Saccharomyces cerevisiae S288C: one gene and its partner. The protein of the gene in region 1 interacts with the protein of each later gene in a pairwise test. Each region holds a gene or a part of one and is shown in the gene's direction. Other genes may lie near its edges.

Region 1 (4,765 bases):
AAGACAGCAACCTCATCATATGGATCCAGCAATTATCTCTTCGAGTAATTCTAACAAAAATGAAAATGCCGTTTCCACGGATACCTCTACTCCCGCAGCAGCAGGTGCGCCAGAGGGAAAACCCCCACAAAAGACTTCTAAGAATAAGAAAAGTTTGAGTAGCAAAGAAGCCCAGATTGAAGAGTTGAAGAAATTTTCCGAGAAATTTAAAGTTCCATATGATATTCCAAAAGACATGCTAGAAGTCTTAAAAAGGTCAAGCTCTACATTAAAATCTAATTCTTCGTTGCCTCCAAAACCGATCAGCAAAACCCCTTCGGCCAAGACTGTTTCTCCTACTACACAGATTTCTGCAGGGAAATCAGAATCTAGAAGAAGTGGCAGCAACATATCTCAAGGCCAATCATCTACCGGCCATACCACGAGATCTAGTACTTCATTGAGAAGACGTAATCATGGTTCCTTTTTTGGTGCCAAGAACCCTCATACTAATGACGCCAAGAGAGTGTTGTTCGGAAAAAGTTTTAATATGTTCATCAAATCCAAGGAGGCCCACGATGAAAAGAAGAAAGGCGATGATGCCTCGGAGAATATGGAACCCTTCTTTATTGAAAAACCTTATTTTACTGCGCCAACCTGGTTAAATACAATTGAAGAATCGTATAAGACATTTTTCCCAGATGAGGATACGGCGATTCAAGAAGCTCAAACTAGGTTCCAACAACGCCAATTGAACTCCATGGGCAATGCTGTGCCTGGTATGAATCCAGCTATGGGCATGAATATGGGCGGGATGATGGGCTTTCCGATGGGAGGTCCATCGGCATCACCAAATCCGATGATGAATGGCTTTGCTGCTGGGTCAATGGGTATGTACATGCCATTTCAACCTCAGCCAATGTTTTATCACCCATCTATGCCTCAAATGATGCCAGTTATGGGTAGCAATGGGGCTGAAGAAGGAGGAGGAAATATTTCGCCCCATGTCCCTGCAGGTTTTATGGCAGCTGGCCCTGGCGCTCCTATGGGTGCCTTCGGGTATCCAGGAGGGATACCCTTCCAAGGAATGATGGGATCAGGTCCATCTGGCATGCCAGCGAACGGGTCGGCAATGCACAGTCATGGCCATAGTAGAAATTACCATCAAACTAGCCACCATGGCCACCATAATAGTAGTACCAGTGGCCATAAATAGTGAAGGAAGCACGTCAGAAAAAGCAATATATAGTAATAAATTCATGCACTTTATAAATATGGTATATAATCAGTGGTACTTACTTACCCATAAATAATGGAACTTTTAATTTTTATGGGAAGGATACTGGATTTTCATTTTTTTCATTTTTTTTGGAACAGGGTACTGAAACTTTTCTTTTTGAAAAAAAAATAAGAACTGAAGAATTTCAATGAACTGGAAGGCTCATCCATTTTTTTTTTTTTTCTTCAGATAGAACAGGCTTTAGCAAATTTTAAGTAATCAGTATTTCAATCGCCACAATCTCAGGCTACATTGAACTCTGTAGGCCACCGATAAATATTGCGGGATAATGAGTAAACGAATTCAACGAGTTTCCTATTTTGGTATTCTATATTTTTTCATACACCTAAACGATCGTAAACATTTGTTGTCAAGATTTACGTTTCTTCGAGGTCTGTGAAAATAGAGCAAATTGTTACTTAAAAGACAACAACAAATGTGTAGGGCAATTCTGCAGTAACAGCAATGTCATTCCTAATGCGTACAAACAGTACTGAGACTTTCAAACGAATAATAACTTCAGCAATAAAAATTGTCCAGGTTAATTATGGAAGATATAGAAGGATACGAACCACATATCACTCAAGAGTTGATAGACCGTGGCCATGCAAGACGTATGGGCCACTTGGAAAACTACTTTGCTGTTTTGAGTAGGCAGAAAATGTACTCGAATTTTACTGTTTACGCGGAATTGAATAAAGGTGTTAATAAGAGACAACTAATGCTTGTCTTGAAAGTATTACTTCAAAAATACTCAACTCTTGCGCATACAATCATTCCTAAGCATTATCCTCATCATGAAGCGTACTACTCTAGCGAAGAGTACCTTAGTAAACCTTTTCCACAGCATGATTTCATAAAGGTGATTTCTCATCTTGAATTCGATGACTTGATTATGAATAATCAACCAGAATACAGAGAAGTCATGGAGAAAATCTCAGAACAGTTCAAAAAGGATGATTTCAAAGTCACCAATAGGTTAATCGAATTGATTAGCCCTGTAATCATACCTCTGGGTAATCCGAAGAGGCCTAATTGGAGATTGATTTGTTTACCAGGTAAGGATACTGATGGGTTTGAAACGTGGAAAAACTTCGTTTATGTCACTAACCACTGCGGCTCCGACGGTGTCAGTGGATCGAATTTTTTCAAAGATTTAGCTCTACTCTTTTGTAAAATCGAAGAAAAAGGGTTTGATTATGATGAAGAGTTCATCGAAGATCAAGTCATCATTGACTATGATCGAGACTACACTGAAATTTCTAAATTGCCAAAACCGATTACGGATCGTATTGACTACAAGCCAGCATTGACTTCATTACCCAAATTCTTTTTAACAACCTTCATTTATGAACATTGTAATTTTAAAACCTCCAGCGAATCTACACTTACAGCTAGATATAGCCCCTCTAGTAATGCTAATGCTAGTTACAATTACTTGTTGCATTTCAGTACTAAGCAAGTAGAACAAATCAGAGCTCAGATCAAGAAAAATGTTCACGATGGGTGCACCCTAACACCCTTCATTCAAGCGTGCTTTCTTGTAGCCCTGTATAGACTGGATAAGCTGTTCACAAAATCTCTTCTCGAGTATGGGTTCGATGTGGCTATTCCAAGCAACGCAAGAAGGTTTTTACCAAACGATGAAGAGTTAAGAGATTCTTATAAATACGGCTCCAACGTTGGAGGTTCGCATTACGCCTATCTAATCTCCTCATTCGACATTCCCGAAGGTGACAATGACAAGTTTTGGAGTCTTGTCGAATACTACTATGACCGCTTTTTAGAATCGTACGACAACGGTGACCACTTGATTGGTCTGGGGGTCCTACAACTTGATTTTATCGTTGAAAACAAGAATATAGACAGCCTTCTTGCCAACTCTTATTTGCACCAGCAAAGAGGCGGTGCAATCATCAGTAATACAGGACTTGTCTCGCAAGATACGACCAAGCCGTACTACGTTCGGGATTTAATCTTCTCGCAGTCTGCAGGCGCCTTGAGATTTGCGTTCGGCCTAAACGTTTGCTCCACAAACGTGAATGGTATGAACATGGACATGAGCGTGGTTCAGGGCACTCTACGGGATCGTGGCGAATGGGAATCGTTCTGCAAGCTCTTCTACCAAACCATCGGCGAATTTGCGTCGCTTTAATGCGATACTGCCGTAGCGGGCCTTCGTATAGCTCGGCCGAGCTCGTACAAAAGGCAAGCAGTGTATCGGACAGAGCTGATATAACACAATACGCTCGTAGTCGATGCATGCCGTGGCTGCTCTCGGTCGGGTATAAGTCTTAGACAATAGTCTTACCTCGCATGTATAATAAATCTTTTGTATTTAATCTATTATATGTTTCTATGCTTTTTTTTCCTATTGTTGTTTGCTTTTCCTTTTCCTTATTTCTTTCTAGCTTCTAATTTTCTTTCTTTTTTTTTTTTTTTTCATTGAAAATTATATATATATATATATATCAGAACAATTGTCCAGTATTGAACAATACAGGTTATTTCGAACAATTGAAAAAAAAAAATCACAGAAAAACATATCGAGAAAAGGGTCATGTCTGCTGTTAACGTTGCACCTGAATTGATTAATGCCGACAACACAATTACCTACGATGCGATTGTCATCGGTGCTGGTGTTATCGGTCCATGTGTTGCTACTGGTCTAGCAAGAAAGGGTAAGAAAGTTCTTATCGTAGAACGTGACTGGGCTATGCCTGATAGAATTGTTGGTGAATTGATGCAACCAGGTGGTGTTAGAGCATTGAGAAGTCTGGGTATGATTCAATCTATCAACAACATCGAAGCATATCCTGTTACCGGTTATACCGTCTTTTTCAACGGCGAACAAGTTGATATTCCATACCCTTACAAGGCCGATATCCCTAAAGTTGAAAAATTGAAGGACTTGGTCAAAGATGGTAATGACAAGGTCTTGGAAGACAGCACTATTCACATCAAGGATTACGAAGATGATGAAAGAGAAAGGGGTGTTGCTTTTGTTCATGGTAGATTCTTGAACAACTTGAGAAACATTACTGCTCAAGAGCCAAATGTTACTAGAGTGCAAGGTAACTGTATTGAGATATTGAAGGATGAAAAGAATGAGGTTGTTGGTGCCAAGGTTGACATTGATGGCCGTGGCAAGGTGGAATTCAAAGCCCACTTGACATTTATCTGTGACGGTATCTTTTCACGTTTCAGAAAGGAATTGCACCCAGACCATGTTCCAACTGTCGGTTCTTCGTTTGTCGGTATGTCTTTGTTCAATGCTAAGAATCCTGCTCCTATGCACGGTCACGTTATTCTTGGTAGTGATCATATGCCAATCTTGGTTTACCAAATCAGTCCAGAAGAAACAAGAATCCTTTGTGCTTACAACTCTCCAAAGGTCCCAGCTGATATCAAGAGTTGGATGATTAAGGATGTCCAACCTTTCATTCCAAAGAGTCTACGTCCTTCATTTGATGAAGCCGTCAGCCAAGGTAAATTTAGAGCTATGCC
Region 2 (3,363 bases), on another chromosome or scaffold:
CGCTTCGATTTCGAGGTTTACTTACTGTAATCTCAAGAAACATACACATTTCCACCCCTCATAAAATGTTGCCTCTTTCAATTGAGCAGAGAAGACCTTCCCGCTCCCCCGAATACGATCAGTCTACTTTATCAAATTATAAGGACTTCGCAGTTCTTCACACCGATTTAAACCTGTCTGTTTCCTTCGAAAAGTCAGCCATTTCAGGGAGCGTTACATTCCAATTGAAAAAACTGCACGAAGGTAAAAATAAATCGGATGAATTACATCTGGATACATCCTATTTGGATGTCCAGGAGGTTCATATTGATGGTTCCAAGGCAGATTTTCAAATTGAGCAAAGAAAGGAGCCATTGGGCTCCAGGTTAGTCATCAATAACGCTTCTTGCAACGATAACTTTACCTTGAATATTCAATTTCGTACGACTGACAAGTGCACCGCTTTGCAATGGTTGAACAGCAAGCAAACCAAGGGCGGTAAACCGTACGTGTTTTCACAGTTGGAAGCTATTCATGCGAGGTCTTTGTTCCCCTGCTTTGATACTCCCTCTGTGAAGTCTACTTTCACTGCATCTATCGAGTCCCCACTACCAGTGGTTTTTTCAGGCATCAGGATTGAAGATACAAGCAAGGATACTAATATTTACAGATTTGAACAGAAAGTCCCTATCCCAGCCTACCTGATCGGTATTGCTTCCGGTGATTTGTCAAGCGCTCCAATTGGACCTCGTTCCACAGTTTACACTGAACCATTTCGTTTGAAAGATTGTCAATGGGAATTTGAAAACGATGTAGAGAAATTCATTCAAACTGCAGAGAAAATTATCTTTGAATACGAGTGGGGCACTTATGATATCTTAGTTAACGTCGATTCGTACCCTTACGGCGGTATGGAGTCTCCGAATATGACTTTTGCTACGCCCACCTTGATTGCACATGACAGATCCAACATTGATGTCATCGCCCATGAACTTGCTCACTCATGGTCTGGTAACTTAGTGACCAATTGTTCGTGGAATCATTTTTGGTTGAATGAAGGTTGGACCGTTTACTTAGAAAGAAGAATTATTGGTGCCATTCATGGCGAACCAACTAGACATTTCAGTGCTCTGATTGGTTGGAGCGATTTGCAGAATTCTATTGATTCTATGAAAGATCCTGAAAGATTTTCCACTTTGGTACAAAACTTGAACGATAACACTGACCCTGACGATGCCTTTTCCACTGTTCCGTACGAAAAGGGGTTCAACTTACTATTTCACTTGGAAACTATTTTGGGTGGTAAGGCTGAATTTGATCCATTTATTAGACACTATTTCAAGAAGTTTGCCAAAAAATCATTGGATACTTTCCAGTTTTTGGATACTTTGTATGAGTTCTATCCCGAAAAGAAAGAAATTTTGGATTCCGTTGACTGGGAAACTTGGCTGTATAAACCAGGTATGCCACCAAGGCCTCATTTTATTACGGCTTTGGCTGATAATGTTTATCAATTGGCTGACAAGTGGGTCGAAATGGCTCAACATTTGAAAACCACAGAGGATTTCCGGTCTGAATTTAACGCTATTGACATTAAGGATTTTAATTCAAATCAATTGGTTTTGTTCTTGGAAACTTTGACACAAAATGGCCATTCCAACAAGAAACCAAAAGATTTTGACTGGGCCAAGTTTCCCGTGGCATCTAGGGCACTGTTAGATATCTATCAAGATAACATTGTTAAATCACAGAACGCGGAAGTTGTTTTCAAGATGTTCAAATTTCAGATCTTTGCCAAGCTGCAAGAAGAATATAAGCATTTGGCCGATTGGTTGGGAACTGTAGGTAGAATGAAGTTTGTCCGTCCCGGTTACAGACTATTAAACTCTGTAGACCGTCGATTGGCACTTGCAACTTTCGACAAATTCAAGGACACGTATCATCCAATCTGTAAAGCTCTTGTGAAACAAGATTTAGGTCTTTGAAAAGGGACGTGTCGTAACATGAATACGTAAACAATTAAATATAACCTACTAATGAGCCTTCATTGCTACTTCTCTGGTTCTAATTAGTGGCGGAGTTCTGTGTCGTGCGATACGAATTTTGCACTTTTGTCACATGCAATCGAGGCAAAAAGAAAAAATAAATAATAACAACGAATATAAATACAAATCGAAAGAATTCAGATTGAATTCAATATTGCAGGGCTTTGAACACTGAGTTTGGAACTATCAGCCGTCAAATACGCATAAAATAACATCAAATACTCCAATAATGAATCAGTTAGGAGCTTTAGCCGTAAGTTCTAAATTGTAAACACATTTGCATCATTGAAAAACTATACTAACGCGTTAACCTTTTTTCTATATTTCTATAGCAAGTTTCACGTTTCACTCAAAACTTCTCCATGGAAAATATTAAGAGCGAGTTCCAATCCTTGCAATCTAAATTAGCAACCCTTCGCACCCCGCAAGAATTTTTCAATTTCAAGAAAATTTCCAAACCTCAAAACTTTGGGGAAGTTCAATCCAGAGTGGCGTATAACCTGAAGTACTTTTCCAGTAACTATGGTTTGATTATTGGTTGTTTGAGCATTTACACATTATTAACAAACTTGTTGCTACTCTTTGTTATTGTTCTAGTCGTAGCTGGTATTGTTGGTATAAACAAACTAAAGGGTGAGGAGCTCGTAACTCCATTTGGTTCTTTCAAGACCAACCAACTATACACCGGACTGGTTTGTGTTGCTGTGCCAATAGGTTTCTTAGCTTCGCCAATCTCAACTTTGCTATGGTTGATCGGTGCTTCTGCCGTCAGCGTTTTCGGACATGCATCATTGATGGAAAAACCCATCGAAACTGTATTTGATGAAGAAACTGTTTGAACACTCCTACAAGTGTTGGGAAAAGGAGTCATTCTTTTCTATTGTGTATTTTACTCTTCTTCAATATTTAGTTAATTCTTGTCTTTTATTCTCTTTCTCCGTCAACATTAGTATTTAATTGTATACAGACACCATTCATAATTGCAGTTAGCTTCTCTGTTCTTTCTCATTCCTAGGATTTACAATGCAGTCTTACCTTATTTGTTTATGTTTTTTTCGTTTATCAAGCGTGCAATCAATTACTGAAGATTCACGTGCCAAAACGTAAAAATAATAATAACATAACCCGAGAGAGGCAAGATTAGAATCAATTCATCTTTTCAAACAAATGGTTATATCGACTAAGCGAAGTGATTAGATGGTGTACGTCGCAGATATTCAACAGTGACGAATTATATGCGATTGTAAGATTGATTGGCAAATCGTATTCCATTACTACTATTAACAACTGATGGCATCTAGAAGGTAAAAAGGGTCAACGTAGATGAGGTAGAGTTTGA

What was found.
Region 2: the proteins of ATF2 (region 1) and YIP3 interact in a two-hybrid assay, tested with the Saccharomyces cerevisiae proteins (one large-scale study listed by BioGRID).

Annotation. Positions count from the first base shown.
Region 1 is NC_001139.9:847,477-852,241, reverse strand, and holds ATF2 (alcohol O-acetyltransferase), read left to right. Parts: upstream 1-1,805; coding exon 1,806-3,413; downstream 3,414-4,765. Other genes in the region: PBP1 (Pbp1p), read left to right, coding at 1-1,195; ERG1 (squalene monooxygenase), read left to right, coding at 3,819-4,765. UniProt on the Saccharomyces cerevisiae protein: Can use acetyl-CoA to synthesize acetate esters from various alcohols, producing ethyl acetate, isoamyl acetate, isobutyl acetate, butyl acetate, hexyl acetate, heptyl acetate and octyl acetate.
Region 2 is NC_001146.8:543,015-546,377, forward strand, and holds YIP3 (Yip3p), read left to right. Parts: upstream 1-2,253; coding exon 2,254-2,277; intron 2,278-2,356; coding exon 2,357-2,863; downstream 2,864-3,363. Other genes in the region: LAP2 (bifunctional aminopeptidase/epoxide hydrolase), read left to right, coding at 1-1,964.